Linked DNA regions of Danio rerio. The protein of the gene in region 1 interacts with the protein of each later gene in a pairwise test. Links are inferred from orthologs where the notes say so. Each region holds a gene or a part of one and is shown on either strand. Other genes may lie near its edges.

Region 1 (10,799 bases):
TGACTGACAGACACTGACCTGGACCTGGAGCGTCTGCTGCGGTCTCTGGAGTGAGATCTCCTCCTGCGGGGACTCTTGGACCTCCTCCTGCTCCTGGAGCGAGATCTCCGCCTGGAGTGACTCTTGGAGCGCCTGCGGTCACAACATCATCATAGTAAGCCAAAACTAAAGCTGATTTTTCACCCCAAAGACTTCCGTTCATATGCACGTGAATGTGTCAGACTGGAAATGCAAGCTCATGCGACGAGTTTTGCAGTTCGCTGTGTTGCAAAGTTTAAGTTTGGTGAACTCTGATCTGTGAAATCGCATCACTGCATGAGACCAATCGAGGATCCAAACATGTCCTCTCTGCACAGAAATGTAAAATATGGAGCAATCGCTCGCTTTAAACATCTAATCATCTTGTTTGATCCCGGCCCTTTTCCTGGCGCAGTATGACAATTTCACACACACAAACTCCAGCGTGACCGCAGCTCAAGACTAAAGCTATTGGTCAAAAGCAGGAGAGCTCAAACAAAGCGTCCTGCAGAGTTCAGTTACAACCCAAACACCTTAATCAGATAGTCAAGCTCTTTATAGGTAGACTAGAAAATTATAGGGCAGATGTGTTGAATATGAAGGGACAGCAGCTCTCAAGGATCCAGTTTGGTCAACCCTGGTCTAAAGACATTTTCATTAACTGAAACATTGACCTTCTCATGTTTTACTTAGTGAACATTATAAAATACTAAACACCCTCTCTCTATATAAACTTTGTTTTTTAATATGAAGTTTTTCTGAATTCTTTATCATTTAATGAATTTCTATTCATGGCATTTGTGAGGTTTTGCATGGTTTAAATACTAAATGTTTTGCACAAAAGTGAATGTAAACATGTTCTGTGCACTCTGATAAACGACAACTACTAACACTAAACTAAATGCATAACTAAAACAAACAGCCATTATTGGAATGAACAAAAACTCAAGCGTACAGCAAACCTAAAAATACTACCAAAATAAAACTAATTCACAAATGCAAAACTACAATAACCTTGCTGTGCTCACAATTTATTCAGATTGGCCCAAATTTCAGCTCAAACTGCGATTAAGACAGACCTGTGTCTGGAGCGGGACCTGGATCTCCTGCGTCTGGATCTGGACCTCGATCTCGAGCGCTTTCGTTTATCATCCTTCTTACCTAAAGAGAAGCAGACACAATTTAGTGTAGCATCCTTCAATATTTACATGAGCAGAATGTCTGATGGGTCACTAGCCGTTTCAAACCACCCATCTTCATGCATATTTTGGAATATTGCAGTAAACAAAACTTACATGTTTAAATATATGAACATATCTAATAATTAAAAACACAGAAGTCTGCTGTGAACAGCTTTAGTGAATAAACTGTGTATGCACTTCATCAGTAGTTTCTGACAGATGCTGATCATATATTAATGTGTGTGTGTGTGAGGGTGTTTGTGTCTCTAATGTTGGTTTTCAGCTCTCCACTGTTGCGGATGTGAGATGTTGTTCAGACACTTAGCCCTCCATCAGTCCGTCATCACAGTGCTTTAGCATTATTCTTCTTTTATTATTATTATTCCCTCCAGAACTGTCTTGAGCATCTGTCTGTGCTCTTGTCTCCACCACATTCACTGCGTCCATTGCATGTGGTGTTCTGAGGCACAGCTCATGTATTAAAGAACAAACAGCACAGTGGAGAATCCCAACAGTGCAGCAAACTACACTTCTCTCAGCAATATCTGTGCAGTTTCTCGCTGCAATATTCCAGTTTGGTGCATGAATCTAATTCTCATCTTCGAGTGGAAACACAGTTACTTACTTCCAGGCTCGATGGCAGCAGAGATCAGAGATTGCGCCTCTCTCACTCTCTTCATGGCTTCTTCAATCTCTTTATTGGAGGCGTCTGCCTTCAGTCCAGGGGTCAGATTGAGCCCAGCGGCCAGAGGATTCAATCTGCAACAACACACAATAAATAGATGATTTAAAACAGAGTACATTTTCATATTTGGGTGAACCCTCCCTTTAATGCTCCATTTAATAAATACTATATATGTGGATTATTTTTAAAATTAAAATCACACAAAATGCATGATTGCAGATGAGGTGTTTGATGAACTTACTTGGGGTCTATTGATGCCATGAGCTTCATGAGCTGCTCAGCTGACAATGACTGAGAAGAAAAACATCAAGCATGAGTCAAAGAGTCCTGCTGCATAAACAGCTTCATGATTTGTGAGTCAGTTATGCAAAATTATAAATGATGAATTTTACAACACATTTAAGACTGACTAGCTAACTGAAACTAAAATGAACAACTTACAACCAACGTAATAGAGTTTACTTGCGCTTGTAGAAAAAAGGCCTTTGATATTTAAGAGTATATTTACAATGCAAATGAATTATGAGGGGAAAAAAAGTTTATTACATTGAAAATTTTATTAATCATTCAATCATCAAAAGAGTTCAAATAATCAAGGCATTGATATGCGTCATATCGTCCAGCCTTTAGCACTTAACATTAGCCATTTCTGTACAAAGGCTAGATGAGGTCTGGCCATTATTGAAGGAATGGAAAATGGTCAAACCTGTGGGTTTATATTGGGTGCTGCCATGGCCAGAGCTGCCATCGGGTCCAAGTTTGGTCCTCCAAGACCGCCGAGAGGGACGCCACCAATCTGACAAGACAAAGCACACGAGCATCACTACAGTGCAAGGAGGACCATAGACTGATTTCACGAGGCGGACATTTTAAACAGCGAAATCGAGGCTGCGGTGGAAGAAACCTGGAAGTATCGTCTGAGTCAGAGAGGAATTTTGTCTACCTGACTGTATATCTCATCAGCGAAGAGAAAGTGACACAAATTTACCATTTCACCACGTTCCAAGTGATCTGAAGATCCGTTCTGAATGAATAGTGAAAATAAAAAGGGATATCAAAGCTCATTTTCAGCTAAGTTAAGGGAAATGAAACTAGTTAGCTAACGTTTTCTTTTCCAAACGCACGTTTTAGATGCCTTTTATCAACCTTAAGTTAATGAACGGATTCTTTCACTATATAAGACAAAACTTCAGTACTGAAACGTAAAAAAATATTTTAAAAAGGCCATATCCCATTAACATTTAAGCACTGTTGATGGCGTTCTTAAACACTGCTGATTTGCCATGGTGTTCACGTGCTCAACAGAAATGACTGTGATTGGCCGTGAAGGTCATCAGTTCACTGATGTTTACCGAGTACAAACACAAACAAGCAATCTACTGATAAATCGACCGATCTTCACGGCTTGAAAACGCTCCAATGTCTATCTGTGTTAGCAATCGGTGAAGAGCGGTGAACTGATGACCTTCACAGCCAATCACAGTCATTCCAGTTGAGCACTGGTGAACACTATGGCAAATCAGCACAGTTTATGAACTCGGCGGCGCTTAAATGTTAGCGGAAATGGACCTTTTAAAACTTCAGTACCGGGACAACACTGCTACAGACAACACGAAGGTGTGTTACAGAGGACTGCATGGTTTTATTGCTCACCGGGTTACATAGACTGAAACAGGGAAGCGTCCCCATGGTGTTTACCTGCTGCCATGAACTGAAACCTAGGAGGACACTTACTCTTAAAGAGATTGTGATGTTGTTTGATGCCTAATCTGCTGTTAATTGTTTAGATTAAACTTACTGCATGATATTAAAGTGATGTTTACACCATTTCTGCATTTTGCAATTTATGGCAACAGCTGGAGGTTTGTAGTTCACAGCATGTTGCTGCAATGTTTACAGTGCTGATGCTATACTCCCGGGTTCCTTCCCACCGCTGCCTCGCTTTCGTGTTTTAAAATGGCGATCGCCTGAAATAAGCATATAGCCTCGGGTTACAGAGATTGACACTCACAGATGGGACGGGGTTGGGTGTGGGGAGGAGTCCGCCTCCTGGAAGCAATCCTGCAACGGCATTGGCCGGAGCAAGCAGAGACATAGCCTTGGACTCATCAGGAATCACTCCTGCAGAACAGAAACACACAGTTAAAGCACGCCGCGGCTCTCCACGCACACACAGACAGACCCACAAACTCAAACTTTCTTTTTTTTTGCAAGATAATGTGCACTGACATCAGTACTCACTTTGCCAGAGCAAGCTAACACATGAGGTCCCTTAACAATAGCATGAAGTGCACAATACTACAAGAAAAGAAATGACACTAGACACACTGCCAAGATGTTATCACCTGAACTTGATTTTTTAAGTCATGAACCAAATGTAAGCAAGCACAGCCGGATCTCCACTGGGATGTGCTCTCAAGTTTCATAAGTTGTATAATGAACAAGCGATTCAGGTCGGCTGCTTCGCTATAAAGCACACAGAGACATCAAGATAGACAAAACAGAGTTTATGATTTGGGTGTCAGCATTAAATGACAGTTCATTAAACCACTGATGCTGTGACTTACCAGAACTAACACAAAAATAAAGACATCAAGGGGCTTTTGCTGGTATTCCAGAGCTAAAGCTGCCTTTACCTTTGGTAAACTTTGACACAGATATACAACAGAAAGGACCTCTTCCAGCAAAAGCCCGTTTTAAACTTAACTACAGACTGTGTGTGTGTGTGTGTCAAAAAGTGCTGAAGAGAAAAATAACTAGAGTTAAATGACAAATGAACGTTTGGTGAGTGCATGGAGTCCATTGGGTGAACGCCTCTGAAATTAATACTTCACTCCAAAGACACAATCATCACTGACACACACACACACACACACACCAGAGAGAGAGAGAGAGAGAGAGCTGAGAGAGAGAGATAGAGAGAACATATGAGAGAGAAACAGGACAAGCTGCAGAAGACAAAACTGTTGGGTGGCATTTTCTGCTGGGCCTGGTTTACAGGACTTGCAGAACCAGGGAAAAGAACTGGAAAACACAACAACAAAAAACAGAAAACGACCGTTAAAAAGCTTCTCAGGCCTTTTCAGTCATGTGGAGAGGAACAAAAGAACATTCTCAGACTGTTTCTTACTCAAAAAGCTGAAAATACTGGAGGGAGATTGGACAAATCATCACATACGCGCAGGGAAAGCCCTGCGTTCAGCTATCATTACGCTCTTGCCAAGCGCTGCTTCTCCTCACATATACATGTGCAAAAGACTCATGCAGAAATGCGCTACATCTCATCTTACCGTGGATTATCTCGTGTCTGATTAGCATGCAGTTCAATCAGAGGATTTGAGGCTAAACATTAGTGCTTTGCAAGAAAAGACGGATCGATCTTTGTCTGTGAGCTCAATTGAATTGAATGGAGACACAAGAGAGGATTATAGTTTACAGCAGGGAAACACACGTGGGCCGCCGCTTTTATTTGTCTACAGGGCAGCAGAGGGTCACTCTCAGACATCTGCCGGCTCTGCAATTGCCTTGTTCACTATAAAAATCACACACACAGATGACAAAGAGAAAAGTTTAACAAAAAAAATGAAACTAAACTGGAAAGGCAATGAGTTAAACATGAGCTCGCCTGCCACGCAGGGCGTCTAATCCCCAACATTTCTCAAATATTCACCTGAGTGCATATACAGTCTTAGGGCTCATTCACACTGAACACGTCTTTGCTTTTAAACACACGCGCGGGGAAAAACTAAACTAAAGACGCAGCATTAAAACACAACTTTAAACAAACTTGCAGCAGCAGTCCCACTTCTCAACTCTTCTGATTGGTCCACTGCTTTGAAACTGACATTAACAAGCAGCGCTGCATCTACAATTTCAACTGCTTATAACTTGACAAAAAAAGAAGAGTAACGATCACACACATCCATCAAGTGCGCCTTTACATCGAAAACACAAAAAGCAGAGCACTTTAAAAGAAACGCGTTCTGTGTGAATGTCCCCATACTGCGTTCAGGTGTGTGTGACGGCCGCTGGAGTTCACTGCACTAAAGCCGTCATCAACACTGCGAAGGGATTGATTACGTGTAACATTTAAAAACAATAAAGGAGTGGCACAAACCTTCAGCAAAGGGGACGACGATCAGCGCTCGGTCCACGAAGACTGTGTTCGTCAGATGCTGCGATACTCCGACTGACTCCGGCTCGTGGAACTTTACAAAACATACACGTGAAGTCACAGGCAAGGGAGAATCACTGAAAGAAAATATAGAAGCTTTTGCAAGGTGTACACACACAGTTCACACACACGCACGCACAGAGCAGTGAAATATTCACGTTTGGCTCGATTTGATTTGATCCGGCTCAGTTTTAGATCTGCCGGCTTCAGATCCAGCAGCGTCCTACCTTCACTGCAGATATGAGGAGGCCTGATGTTTTTCGATGGGTGAAAAACAACAAAAGCACAGAACAAGTTACTAATTACAAGCTACTGAAAAACCCTGCCTGACTGAGTAGTGACGTCTCAGAGAGTGCATTTCTATTTCTACACCTAAGAACAAGCCATGTTTAGCTCACAGTACACTTAATTTTACATCTTTTTACAACCTTTAATTAGTGTTTGCAAACTTACATATGTGACCCCAGAACAGAAAATCAGTCATAAGTGCATATATAAGATATGCATTCTCAAAGCTGAATTAATATGCTTTCCATTAACGAATACAGGTTAATGTACTTATAAAGTACAGCATTTAATAATTATAGTTTCAATTTATTAATCGTAGTACAAAATAAATTCATGCTTGTTTACTTTAGTTAATGCAGTTAACATGAACTAACAATGAACAATATCGTAATGAATATATTATTCATTGTTTGGTTATGTTAGCAAATACATTCATGCAAACTTATTATAAAGTGTTAATGATTTTACAAACATTTGGGTGAGATAAAACTATTAAAAAAGCAGGTAACTGAGGGCTTAAAAACATAAATTAAAAGTGTAAAGTTGTCCAAAATAAATTTTTACCAATGTTTATTAATCATCACAACTGGAGTGGATATATTTGCAGTGTAAAAATTATTAAAAACATTTTATTAAAATATGATCTTTACTTAATATTCTAATGTTTTTTGGGAGAAAAATACATTTCTAACCTATACACTGCATTTTTTGCAAAGACTGGTTCTATGGTCCAGGGTCACCATATAGGTAGGGTTGGGCGATTAAAACAAAATCACAACCCTGATTTAGCAAAAGCTGTGACCAATGCCGTTATGCCCAAATACCTTTCATTTGATGTAGATACACATCCCTACATAATCATCCGAAACCATCTAAAATGTTTCATTTGTTTGAGTCATGGGAAATTGTATTAATATCGCAAATAGAATTTTCAGTCTTTACCAATAGTGTGCAGGCTGCACAACAGCAATGTTGTAAACTAAATATTTTCAGAGCTAGCCTTTACATTGCAGGCTTAATTACTGTACTATTAAAATGTGAATAGAAGCCTGCTTTCTTCAAAGTTCCCTTTCAGTTGTTTAGAGTAGGGTTGTCTCTTCTTTGCCTTGCACCAGTAAATCTGCTCTAAATCTGCTCTAAAGTCTATCACATCCTTTAACAATGAAATGCAAACTAAACCAAATCAACAAAATTACTACAAAAACTATAATAAAATAGGCAATGCGCTTGACATATTTAACCTGCTCCACAACTATGAAGCTTTATATATCAAATATATAATATATATTTAGTACATACTTTTATTACATAAGTTTTATTATATTATATTATAGTTTTATCAAACTATATAATAAAATAGGCAACGCGCTTGACATATTTAACCTGCTCCACAACTATGAAGCTTTATATGTCAAATTACTGTAAAATGTTCATCAGCTTTAAAGCGAGATCACAAAAAAATAAGCAAATAATTTAGTAGTAAATCTACTCATTTACTCTCCCCCAAGATTGAGATGATGTTGATTTTATATTTGCACATTTAAAATTTTAAAAATAGTAAAGTAGAATTGATTAAAACTGATTAATTAGCATGCAGTTATGAGTATTGTATTTGAAACTAATGCATTGTTTAAAAATAAAAGCTGATAACCACATCTCTATGGAAAGTCTGTATATTGTTGATCAGGCTACTTTGAATACAGAATCTGAAATTACATGCCAGTATAAATCAGAACATTAGCACTATTTCATCCACTGCGAACAGTGTTGTACTTTGATAGTCACTGGCTGTTAATATGATTTTACTATTTAGAATTAGAAAAAAAAAAGCTTTTCTGAAATTATACTAAGTAAAATATCTAAATGTGCAAACATAAAACCAAATTTACCACAACCCCACAAGTGCTTCCAAACCAGCAGGGGTTTATTACATATTTCTGTTATCCTAAACATTAAATACAATATTCATCATCAATGGTTACAGGCTTCCAGCTTTATCGGAAATACTTGTTTAACAGAAGAAGCTAAACTTTGAAAACACTTGAGGAAGAGTAGATAGTAGGTACATTTACATTTGTGTATGAACAACCTGCATTATATACAGACAGCGCTATTAAAAACAACCACAACTAGATTGTATTGTAATGAAAATCTGGTGATTATAACAGTAACACAACTAAAGCAACAACTGTTAACACAAAGTGTGTATCAAACACGTGCACACGAAAACTGAACTGTGCGTCGACGCAGATTTACGTGCGTGACGTCACGCGTCTTCACGTAACAAAGTAACGACATTAAATTGTACAATGACCATAATAAACATCGCGTGTGAGTGTACAAGTCAACTTAATACACACAACGCAGAAAATATGAAGACAAATACACTAATAGTCGGTTAACAGCTCCACCAGAAGAGTGTGCGCGTTCACTGTGGCGGAAACGGATCGAGTGTGAATGGGTGTGCTAATATTCGACCTCAATCTGCACGAACGAGCAGAATAATGAACATTTGTGTACAGAAATGTGTGCAGTTTCCCCCAGTGTTTGTGAAAGCTGTGTTTGACTCACTCTGGAGGGAAGAGTCTGAGCTCGTCGATGCTGCCGATGAAGCCGAACAGAGTCCTCATCTGCTCGGCGGTGCTGCTCGGAGACACGTTCGTCACCTGGATCACGCTGGTGCTGCTGGACGTCATTTTCCTGGATCAGCGACGGTAAATATGCATCCAAATCCGCGATTTTGCCTCGATCTGTCCTCCGTGGAGTGGATGAAGTGTGTCGCGGCCTGCTCCTCACGCGCGCATCACTGCGGATCTGTAATGGCGCTCGGGTTGCTGTGTGAAGCGCGCGCTTACAAGAACATGGCGGCGTGTGCGGCAAATTTCAAAATAAAGGCTTTGCGTAAAACACGGGCCGGAAGATAACCATAGTTTATAACAGTGGTTCTCAAACTTTTTTCACCAAGTACCACCTTAGAAAAAATTCGTCTCTCCAAGTACCACCTTACGACGCTATTTTTTAACCAGTATTAAAAATGGCGTCATAGGCCTAATTAAGCAGCTACAGGTGTTCACAGTTTAAAAACGATGCAGATTAATTCCTATTATTAAGAATATGTATTATTATCAGTCACTTTAAACATTTGAAATAGTCTGAATATTAACTGTGCTTGCAGATTAAAAAAAAAAAGTTTTTGTTAAAATGTGCTTTTAAAAGTTCATTTAAAAATGGTGTTGTTCTTAAAAAGTAAAAAAAAAAACTGCTGTACTTAAATCTAAAGTATTCATTGTAGCCTATTCATCAAAATGTTGCTTTTACCTTATAAATATAGGCTATATGTCACATTCCTACACTTTCAGACAAATCTTGAAATATATGTTAAATGTACATATGACAGGGTTCATACAGGCACAGCCTAATAAAAATCAATTCCAGCACCTATTTTTTTTTTTCAAGACTGACATGTATTGAAGACCTGAAAAGTATTCTCAGCAACCCATAAAACATTGCATAGGAACAGATACAAATAAAAAACATAAAAATAATATTTATTAATCATATATTAATAATATAATAAACCTGCACTAAATGCTTGTGAAATCTTTTTTGTACTCAAGTAAAAATACTATTACACTGCTAAAATAACACAAATTTTAGTAAATAATACTAATATTAGGTAAAAGTACAAAGTACTCTTTTAAAAAGTACTAGTTGGTTACTTTTGAAAAAAAAAAAAAATCTGATTTTCATTATGAAATAACTTTTTTTTAAGTGTAAACTTGATTGAATGGTTTAATTGCTTAAATCCCAAAGCTACATGTACAGAAAATTGCACTAACAAAGAAAGTATGGTCGATTTTTCCTTTCATGACAATTAATCTTTTTCAATAGCACTGGTAAAACTACCAAATAATCTTTAAGGCCAAAGAGACACTTTTTGCCCATTTTTTTAAACGATATTTACAAGCTTTGAAAGGTTTAATGGAAGTATATGGTAAAAAGATTTAATTTAGCCCTTTATTTACATATTTTACACTATTTTTCTTTACAATATGGCAAATTTGTTTCTTAAAAAGCTGTTCATCACATGTAGATTTTATTTTACATTTAACCTAATCTAAAATAGAAACTTTAAAAAAAATACAAGTACACTGTCAGTAAAAAAAAATTAATAAAACAAATGACTTTATTTTACTTGAGGTATTTGAAATGAAAACACTACATTAATCAAAGCAGTGCTTTAAGAGCCTTATTGTTAATTTTGATAAATAAACAGTAAGTAACAACGGATTGCTTTGACCTGTAATGCTTTAAGACAGATCAGAATACAGCTTAATGTATAAATCACACAAATACCTAATCCAAAAACATTTCCAGCATAATTCTTTTGTCGTAAAGAAAAAAAATAAAAAATACACCTTTGCTAAAAGTAAGTTTCACTTCACAACACAGC
Region 2 (11,303 bases), on another chromosome or scaffold:
ACTGGTTAAAAAACAAAACTTTTTATTTATTGTTTATTATTCCATTGACAATATTACATAAAATGTTAATCATTAAAAAGTCATAATATACTGATTATTTATCTAACACATATATGAATATTAAAGTATTTAAGCAAATCAAAAAGTAAATCACATTTGGACTAATAAATTTTTTTTTTACTTTACTGGCTAAAAAACAAAACTAAAAAAGAAATGATTACGTTATAAGATTTTATATATTATATTATATTATATTATTTTATATTATATTTTATTATATTATGTTATATCATATTATTTTATATGATATATTATTTTATATTTTATTTTATATTGTATTATATTATATTATTTTTATTATTATTTTATATGATATTATATTATTTTTATTATAATATAATATATTTTATTATATTACACATTCATTATTGTGTTTTTACTAAAATGAACATTTGTTTCTGCCTTTTTTTTATTCCTATTATAGTATTACTGTAAATGTTCATCATTAAATCATATATGATCAATATTAAAACTCATAATCAGTGAAGTGACCTTGAGGCTTGTATTCGCAGCCGATGAAGCCCTGATAGTCGAGCTCCTCCAGCAGTCTGAAGATGAAGGAGAAATTGAGCTCTCCAGGGCTGTCTGGCTCATGCCGATCCGGAACCTGAGCTATCTGGATGTGGCCTGATGCAAAATAATAATAATCAATAAGTAATAATAAAACTGGAAAACAGAAAGTATAATAAAGTAATATAACAATATAACAATATAATTTAAAAGCATTTTGTAGACAAGCAAAAAAAAAAACGATGGTCTTATTCTTAATATAACAAAATAATTGCATTTATTTTTTGTTAATATAGGCTGGAATACTAAAACAAACAATAAACATGATAAAATATAGTAAAAAAGCACAACAAAAATCAAACCTGAGCCTGTTTTTACTCAAAAATGTATTGTTTTTCTCTAATTTGTATTCAAGTTCGAAACTAAAATAACCAAAGACAGTTAAACAAAACTTGAAATAAACACAGAACATCGACAAAATATTACTACAAAATGTTCAACAAAAATACAAACTTAGAATGTTAATATTGTAAATATAGGAAATATTTTGACATTTTTATTTTATTTTGTAGAAATTTAAACAGAAATGTTTTATTATTTTATTGTTGTGGTGTTTGTGCATATGTGTATATATGTGTGTATATATGTGTGTGTGTGTGTGTATATATATATATATATATATATATATATATATATATATATATATATATATATATATATATATATATATATATATATATATATATACCCACACACACACTAAAATAAACTTTCTTTATTCAGTTTTCTACAAAATAAAGTAAAAATGCCAAATCGCTACTACTAAAATTCATCAAAATAATACTTTTGAATGTTAAAAATTATTAATAGTAAAGATGTTGAAATATAACGTCTGTTAGGTTGAGACAGACTGCAGCAGGATTATGTATTACCGCAGTAACGGTGAGGTTTACCTGTCATTGGTAAGTATCTCCGTATATTGTGAGTTAAGTTTCCATCCATGATCTGCCAGTGGAAGATGTCCTACAACAGCAGAAGCAGACAAGAACAGTCAGTGTATGGAGAGTCTGAGGTGTGTTTTCTGCAGATGGATGGATGGATGGATAGATAGATGGAAGGATGGATAGATAGATAGATAGATAGATAGATAGATAGATAGATAGATAGATAGATAGATAGATAGATAGATAGATAGATAGATAGATAGATAGATAGATAGATAGATAGATAGATAGATAGATAGATAGATAGATAGATAGATAGATAGATAGATGGATAGATAGATGGATGGATGGATGGATGTGGATGGAAGGATAGATAGATAGATAGATGGATGGATGGATGGATGGATGGATGGATGGAAGGATAGATAGATAGATAGATCGATAGATAGATAGATAGATAGATAGATAGATGGATGGATGGATGGATGGATGGATGGATGGATGGATGGATGGAAGGATGGATGGATGGATGGATGGATGGATGGATGGAAGGATAGATGGATGGATGGATGGAAGGATAGATGGATGGATGGATGGATGGATGGATGGATGGATGGATGGATGGATGGATGGATGGAAGGATAGATAGATAGATGGATGGATGGATGGATGGATGGATGGATGGAAGGATGGAAGGATAGATAGATAGATGGATGGATGGATGGAACAATAGATAGACAGACAGACAGACTAATATATGAGAAATATGAGAAAACTAACCATCTGCATCTTGATGCTGGGATGATCCACTCTCTGCAGAATCTCAGCAGCTACACACCAACACAATAAAACATCAGTAAATGATCCAGAATCAGAAAACACACACTCAATGTTCAGTGTGAGAGAGTGCTGACCCTGATGTGGAGAGTGCAGGAAATATCGTGGGTCTGTGATCCTGCTGTTGATCGGCTCAATCAGACCAAGCAGACCTTCCTGAAGAGCAAAGACAAACTGTTTTTGGGCGATGAAGACAATTTTTGATCGTTTTTTTTTTTTTTTTTTGCAAAATATGTGACCTACAGGTACTAAAAGTTAGGTGTAAGTAAAAGAGTTTTTAGTGATTATTGATCAAATTAGCAGCATTGAAGAGTTATATAGTATAGTATCGTTTTAAAAGCTCTCAAATTCAGCCTTACACTAAATTACAGCATCAAAACCATCCAGCCAAACCACGGTATTAAATGTAGAGACCCGGTGGAGAGTTACAACATCACGAAATCAAAAACAAAACAAATGTTTCAAGCACTGTAGGAGTATTTCAGTAAGCATTGGAGGAAGACTACAATGATATTTATATATACTCATTTATGTTATATATTATTTTATGCTGTAAATAATAATAAATAAATAATTTTTAAAAATATGTAAGACCTAAGAACACAAGACTGCAGTCAATTAAAATTTGGACTTTGAACTTTTGATTTCAAATTTTTTAATTTAATTTTTATTTATTTTTTTAGTTTTTTTATTCTTAAATAAAGATTTGGAATTCTAAAACTTTGATTTAGAATTCTAAAATTGTGATTTTTAGTTGTAAATTTAGATTTGGAATTCTAATATTTTGATTTGGAATTCAACATTGTTAATTTAGAATTAAAAAACTTTGATTAATATTTCTAAAATTTAAATTTGGAATTAAATTTAGATTTAGAATTTAAAAAAAAATTTTTTTGTAAATTTAGATTTGGAATTCTAATATTTTGAATTGGAATTCAACAATGTTAATTTAGAATTCAAAACTTAAAATTAGAATTCAAAAACTTTGATTATTAACTCTAAAATTTAGATTTGGAAATCTCAAAAAATATATATATTTTTGTAACTTTAGAATTTGGAATTCTAAATTTTTTTTTTTTTTTTGTAAATTTAAATTTGGAATTTTACAATTTTGATTTTTAATTGTAGATTTTGAATTGGATTTCTAATGACTTAGATTTGGATTCTATAATTTTGATTTAGAAATTTTAAGGGGGTCAAAGGTCACCTTGTCTAGCACACCTGCTGCATGCTTCAGATTGTGCACAAACGTATCCTCCATCTGCAGGGCAAGAGCGCAGCGTTCAGACCCCGCCGGGACCCTGCCAGCCATCAAGTGAATCCTGGAGACACACATGAACATCACATATACACCATCCTCATGCTCCACCGATGGAGAAAACACACCTCAGAGCTTCAGCAAGAACAGTTCAGCACAAATCTGAACATTTCAGTAAGTAAAGCTTCATGTCTTCCTCACAGCAGCTTCAGTATGCGCTTGTTTTATGCTTTATATAATATGAGTGGAACATCCAGCAGTCCACTGTGAATATAAATCAGCTGAAGGACTGTTATTGCTGCTGTGTTTTGTTCATTTGAGTCCTAACCAGACAACAAAAAGACAAAGCAGGAAAAGTGAGCTCTTCCATGCAAATCTCTGAATAAATATTGATTTGGATTTCTGTATGGTCGGAGTTTTCAGAAAGCTTGAGTTTCAGTCAGCCAATACTCCCTTTTTGTGTGGACAAACAGTAAAAATGTGTAGAAAAAAAGTGCATTTTTGAAAATACTCATGCTTGTGTGGACAGGGCTTTAAAGGGTCATGACACCCCCCACTTTCGGTTCAAGTCTACCTCAGAATTTTTTCAAAAGATGCATGATAATGGGCGTGGAGCTCTGTGAGCAAAGGGCAAGAGTGGGCGTGGCCAGCAGGGGAGAAGGAGGGGAGCGAACAACTGTTGTCAGTCGGCTCACAAAATGAGACACAAACCATGAGGAGACGCATGACTTTATAGCTAACAAAGTTAAAATGCAAAGAAACAAACGGTAATTTAATGCTCAGCTACATTTGTTATTTGTAATTTCATATACAGATAACCACAATTTATATCATTTTAAAGATAAGCATGTTCATATAAACACTATAAATGATGACTTCTCCCTCAATCCCCGGGTCTGAATGCAGACTCTCTTGCCCTGCCTATTTTAACCATTAGCCCTGTTGGTAATCTGGAGGATTTAGGCAAACACAGCAGCACGGTGATGTGTCTAAATGTGAACGAACTCCTGATAAAGGACAAAGTCCACAATTCTCTGTCATACTCGTACTGCTCTCCTGACAAAAATGCTTGCTGCACACAAACAGCTCTGCTGTATCGATCCTGACAGCATCGCGGGGAAACAGACACACAACCCTTCATGAATGGATGAATACTGTGTGCTGTGTGTTTGTGTCTCAGAGCTTGGCACTGGCAGGTCTGCCTTGTCTTCGTAAAGCACGTGCAGGCATGAATAATTAAGAAGCCGGCTCTTCTCATAGGATAAGAAAACTCCGCTATGAATAATAATGAGAAACCGACAAAAGCTGACAAACTGACAAATGCTCCAAATTATCCAGTTTACCCCACAATTACAGCTGACAGGTGCCAACATTGCCTTAACTGATGCTCAACAAACACAATTCTGTTAACATCTCAGAAAAAGTACTCGAGGGTTTCATGAACCTTTATGAACATGTAATTGGTGTTTGTTAAATGTGTGACCCCTGAAGGTCGACTGAAGTGTGTTCCTGAAGAGTATTAAACATCCTCACACTCGTACCTCGTGCAGTCGAGTGCTTTAGCGTACTGAACAGCCAAATCCAAACCCTGCCTGAACTCCTGCTCTCTCCCAGGAACAGCAGCCAATCCCAGATCTCCAGCTGACGCGTCACCTGCGGGAACACAGCAGCTGATTATTACTGATGATAACTATCAGCACTTAATTAAAGTGTCTATCCGTCTATCTAGTCATCTGAATATAGTGATCCATCCAGTCGTCCATCCATCCAACCATAGTTTAACCCAAGAATCCATCCATCTATCTATCTATCTATCTATCTATCTATCTATCTATCTATCTATCTATCTATCTATCTATCTATCTAGTCATCCGTCTATCTAGTCATCCATCCATCTATCCATCCATCCATCCATCCATCAATCTATCTATCTATCTATCCATCCATCCATCCGTCCATCCGTCAATCTATGTATCCGTCTATCTATCTATCAAACTATCTATCTATCTATCTATCTATCTATCTAGTCATCCGTCTATCTAGTCATCCATCCATCCATCCATCCATCCATCCATCCATCCATCCATCCATCCATCCATCCATCCATCCATCCATCCATCTATCTATCTATCTATCTATCTATCTATCCATCCATCCATCCGTCCATCCATCAATCTATGTATCCGTCTATCTATCTATCTATCTATCTATCTATCTATCTATCTATCTATCTATCTATCTATCCATCCATCTATCTATCTATCTATCTATCTATCTATCTATCCATCCATCCATCCATCCATCCATCTATCTATCTATCTATCCATCCATCCATCCGTCCATCCGTCAATCTATGTATCCGTCTATCTATCTATCCGTCTATCTATCTATCTATCTATCTATCTATCTATCTATCCATCCATCCATCTATCCGTCAATCTATGTATCTATCTATCTATCTATCTATCTATCTATCTATCTATCTATCTATCTATCTATCTATCTATCTATCTATCTGTCTAAAGTTTGACCCAAGCATCCATCTATTTGTCTATCTAGTCATCTATCTATCCGTTTATGGATCCGTCAATGCACTCGTCTGTTTGTCTGTCGTTCACTCGTGTGTGTGCGTGCGTTTCTTTCTCTCACCAGGAGGAGTGTTTATTAGCACAAACTCGAGCCCCGTCTCCTCTTTGGCTGTCTTTAACTCTTTCAGGTCGGTGTTGTAGAGCCAGGCCGCCTCCACCGCGCGGAACCCCGCACTCGCTGCGGCGCGCATCCGCTGCGGGAACTCCGGCAGCTCCGTGAACAGCCACGAGATATTCGCGCAGAACTTTAACGGCGCCATTAAACACGTCTGCAGCAGGACGAGCACATGCAGCTCGATGACACACTCTGACACACACAAGAAACCAATAACTAACCGAATAACCAAAGTTCAGCGTTTATTGATCAGCACGTGCTCACTGTGTTTACATCTTCAGCGATCAGCTGACTACGCACGTCACGTGCTTCTCCGCACATGCGCATTGGCTCATTTGAGGATCTTGCATTTAAGCCTACTTTTAGTTTTATCATTTGTTTATTTCTTTTATTATTTTATTTTTTATTTTTGCTCTGTTCTGTACATTTTGTGTTTATTTGAATTTCTCCTTTCACTGAATTTGTGTTATACTGCAATTAAAAATCTTTTATTTTTATCTGTTTTTTTATGTTAATATTATATTTTATTGTACCATTATTGCAACGATTTTTAATTTTTTAATTTAATTTTAAATTTTTAAAGCTCTATATGTTTGCTTAACTTAAAAATGGTTAATTAATAGAATAAATAATTATAATTATTATGTATATTTATATAAAACATTTCTAAATGTATTCAAATATAAATTGGACCAAAAAAACAAACAAAATAGTAAAATAAATAGTCAAAAAAATTATAATGAAAAGAAAAATCAATAATGTTTTCATTTTTGGTGCGATTGTTACTATATATTATTATTATTATTATTATTTAAATTAGTATATGTATATTTAATTTATTATTATATTGGGGTTTTTTTCATTCATTCAGATATATTCTTTATATTTATTACAACATCTATTTTTCAATATTTATTTATACATTTATTTATAGCTATATTTATTTCTACTTTTTATTATTTATTATTTAAATAAAATTTTTATTTAAATATTATATTATATTTATTATTTACATTTTAATAATAATTTATATAATTTAAATTATATACGTTAAAAATATTACAAAAAATAAAAAAATAAATAAATAACCTGGGGTGTCCAAACTCGGTCCTGGAGGGCCTATTTTCTGAAGAGTTTAGCTTCAACCCTAATTAAACACACCTGAGCCAGCTATTCAAGCTTTCACTGTACTAGAAAATTCCTGGCAGATGTGTTGAGTCAAGCTGAAGCTAAACTCGGCAGGACACCGGACCTCCAGTTTGGAGTTTGGACACCCCTTTGTTAAACAATGTAATATATTAAACGAATGAGCTTCTACTTTAAATTTTTACATTTAATTACATTTTCCCTTTTATTTCCACTAAATATTTTGTTAAATTATATAACCTTTAATTTTAGTTTCGATTTTTAGATCAATTTCCTTTTTTTTTTCTTTTTTTTTTTTAAATCGCAATGTTTAAATAATATTTCAATGTCAGTCGTGAATTGATTCATTATTTTTTAAAAATGAGCTCAAGTAAGTGTTTGTAATCTTTTAGTCGCCGGCATATGTTCAGACAGCTGCTGAAGTAAACCCATACAAACACCTAAAAGACGATCTTAGAGTCCAAACTTCATGTATTCCTTTAATTCTCAGTTCAGCCACTACATGAAGCAGACTCATGCATATTCATGAGTTATTGTTTTACACCTACTGTGTGTTTTTTCATAGCCACTGGGACAGAAGGTGATGTAATCCTGCGCGAGTGTCTTGAGTATCATTTCATGAGGTTTATAGTAAATATTCAATACAGCAGCAGCATGGAGGAGGTCAGCAGAGGTTAATGAAGCACCTGGACTCAAATACACTCATGAATATTAAAAACTCCACTGATGGAAACATGTTATTCTGACTTTATTAAAGTATCTGCATCTCTCCATCTTCATCTTCAAGAAGAGACTCTCACTAATGCACCACAGCACAGATTTCCTCCATACAGACTTCATTATGATCCACTTGAACAGCATTACATGTCATTATGGTTGCATGTTGTCTGGAATATGCATGATTATGATGATTGCACTTGTCATTTTCCCTCATATTTGCAGTGTTTGAAATAGAGAACTAACATATTCTGGACTTATTATTTATTATTATGCACGTATTACATATGCTGCCCTCATGTTTGCATCAAATTCAGTTCATGTAAAGCAAATCAAGTCAGTATTTTACATCATTTACTCATTCATTCATTTCCTTTTCGGCTTAAACTTGGTTCGCCACAGCAGAATGAACCGCCAATTTATAAAGCACATGTTTTACACAGCGGATGCCCTTCCAGCCGCAACCCAACACTGGGAAACATCCATACACACTCATTCATACGCATACACTACGGCCAAATTAGCTTTCCCAATTCCCCTATAGCCTATGTCTTTGGACTGTGGGGAAAACTGGAGCACCCGGGGGCAACCCACGCCAACACCGTGAGAACATGCAAACTCCACACAGAAATGCCAACTGACCAAGCCAGGACTAGAACCAGCAACCTTCTTGCTGAGAGGCGATTGTGCTCCCCACTGCACCACCGTGCCCCCATACATCATTTAGTATAACATATATAAAAATATATTAATTAAAATACACGTTAAATGAAAACCACTAAGATATACTCACCGGCCACTTTATTAGGTACACCTTACTAGTACCGGGTTGGACCACCTTTTGCTTTCAGAACTTCATGGCAGAGATTCAACAAGCTACTGGAAATATTCCTCAGAGATTTTGCTCCATATTGACATGATAGCATCACACAGCTGCTGCAGATTTGTCAGCTGCACATCCATGATGCCAATCTCCCATTCTCTATTGGATTGAGATATGGGGAGTTTGGAGGTCATCTGAGTACAGTGAACTCATTGTCATGTTAAGAAATCAGTCTGAGATGATACACGTTTTATGACATGGTGTGTTACCCTGCTGGAAGTAGCCATTAGAAGATGGAGACACTGTGCTCATAAGGGATGGACATGGTCAGCAGCAATACTCAGGTAGGCTGTGGCGATGACAAGATGCTCAATTGGTACTAATGAACCCAAAATGTGCCAAGAAAATCTCCCCCACACCATTATACCACCACCACCAGTCTGAACCATTGATACAAGGCAGGACAGATCCATGCTTTCATGTTGTTGATGCCCAATTCTGACCCGAGCATCCGGATGTTGCAGCAGAAATAGAGACTCATCAGAGCAGGCAACGTTTCTCCAATCTTCTATTGTCCAGTTTTGGTGGACTGTGTGAATTGTAGCCTCAGTTTCCTGTTTGTAGCTGACAGGAGCGGCACCCGGTGTGTTCTTCTGCTGCTGTAGCCCATCCGCCTCAAGGTTGGACGTGTTGTGTGTTCAGAGATGCTCTTCTGCAGACCTCAGCTGTAACGAGCAGTTATTTGAGTTACAGTTGCCTTTCTATCAGCTGGAACCAGTCTGGCCATTCTCCTCCGAGCTGTTGGAAAGGTGTACCCAGTAAAGTGGCCGGTGAGTATATATACATGTACTTTTTTTATATATATATATATATGGTGCTAAATAATACTATATTTATTGAATATGTTTTGCAAGAAAATATCTTCTGTTTTGACCTCTTCAGAATTTCTTATTTGATTCAGTTTGAACTTTTTTTTTAATTCATTTGTAATAATTTTTTCCCTTTTTATGTTTATTTATTTATTTATCATTTAACAATTTATACATTTATTAATATTTTTTTAAATTTGAATATTTCATTTTTAAAATGAATATATACTGTATTATATCTTAAAAATTACAATGTAAAATAATTATTTATATTTTTCAAACCCTGATGATAATTAACCATAGTTGTAATACAAAAAAAAACTTAAACAATGCATAAAAAATTAAGGGGGGAAAAAGGAAGAAGGACAACATTGTTAATACTTATTTATTTTTATTCGGCTTAGTGTTTAATGAATCTGGGGTCGCCACAGCGGAATGAACCGCCAACTTATCCAGCATATGTTTTACACAGCAGATGCCCTTCCAGCTGCAACCCAGTCCTGGGAAACATCCACAAACACTCATTCACACACATACACTATGATCAATTTAGCTTATTCAGTCCCCCTATAGCGCATGTGTTTGGACTGTGGGGGAAACCGGAACACCTGGAGGAAACCCACGCCAACACAGGGAGAACACGCAAACCATACACAGGCCACCATGCCGCTCCATGGTTCATTTTCTGTGAGGGAATTTTTAGGTAAAATGAGCATTATTTAAATGTTTTACAACAAAATACTGTTTCTGTCTTCAACATTTCTTATTTTTAATAATTATTTGTAACTTTTTCTTTGATTTCTTTGAAATCAATGGCATTTTTAAGCATTTTTTGTAAACATTAGTTTTTTGTTTTGGGGGTTTGTCTTGAGCTTTACATAAACCTGAAATGCACCAGAAATACACATTTTTATTTGAAGATAAATACCAGTCACGATGTCAGCATACAGCATCATTCATCATGAATTATTGGCCGCTGCTTCATCATGTATCATTTAAAATAAGCCAGTATAGAGAGCAGTGTAGAGTAAATAGTAAAGCAGCATGTGTGCAGAAGGGCTGATGCACACAAACCCCCTGCAGCAGGAAGCAGGAAGTGGCGAGAGGAAGCAGGGCCACTGGAGCAGGAAATTGAAAGCGTGAGCGTTTAGCCCTCTCAGGTTTGAGCCCTAACAAGCCTGCTTCAGAGATGACAGCCTGCGCTTATCGGCCCCATCTCCACTTCCATCAGCCAATGACAGATGTTTACTGCAGCACAACTGTGAATATCAAGCAGAAATCCTCAGCGCTTCATACTGTCCGCATGCGTGTTTAATATAGAGAAGGGGAATGTGTCCTTACTTTGCAATGCGTTCTGGGTATTTAGGACAAGGGTGCCTGATTCCCATTGATCGCTATTGATTTTATTGTATCATATGCAGAGGGGGAAATAAGTA

Evidence for each region. The genes of interacting proteins can lie anywhere in the genome.
Region 2: the proteins of srsf11 (region 1) and hyi interact in binary tests that used the Homo sapiens proteins (3 or more experiments, as listed by UniProt). The two-hybrid records come from large-scale screens. The link is inferred for Danio rerio from reciprocal best matches to the Homo sapiens genes SRSF11 and HYI.

The regions. Positions count from the first base shown.
Region 1 is NC_133186.1:47,576,478-47,587,276, reverse strand, and holds the start of srsf11 (serine/arginine-rich splicing factor 11), read right to left. Parts: upstream 9,178-10,799; 5' UTR 9,043-9,177; coding exon 8,918-9,042; exon of another isoform or gene 7,692-8,917; intron 7,588-7,691; exon of another isoform or gene 6,136-7,587; coding exon 6,002-6,135; intron 4,006-6,001; coding exon 3,896-4,005; intron 2,681-3,895; coding exon 2,591-2,680; intron 2,176-2,590; coding exon 2,126-2,175; intron 1,959-2,125; coding exon 1,825-1,958; intron 1,180-1,824; coding exon 1,098-1,179; intron 133-1,097; coding exon 19-132; intron 1-18. UniProt on the Homo sapiens protein: May function in pre-mRNA splicing.
Region 2 is NC_133181.1:3,330,247-3,341,549, forward strand, and holds the start of hyi (putative hydroxypyruvate isomerase), read right to left. Parts: upstream 6,616-11,303; 5' UTR 6,458-6,615; coding exon 6,259-6,457; intron 5,263-6,258; coding exon 5,151-5,262; intron 3,674-5,150; coding exon 3,559-3,673; intron 2,508-3,558; coding exon 2,429-2,507; intron 2,345-2,428; coding exon 2,295-2,344; intron 1,594-2,294; coding exon 1,524-1,593; intron 688-1,523; coding exon 553-687; intron 1-552. UniProt on the Homo sapiens protein: Catalyzes the reversible isomerization between hydroxypyruvate and 2-hydroxy-3-oxopropanoate (also termed tartronate semialdehyde).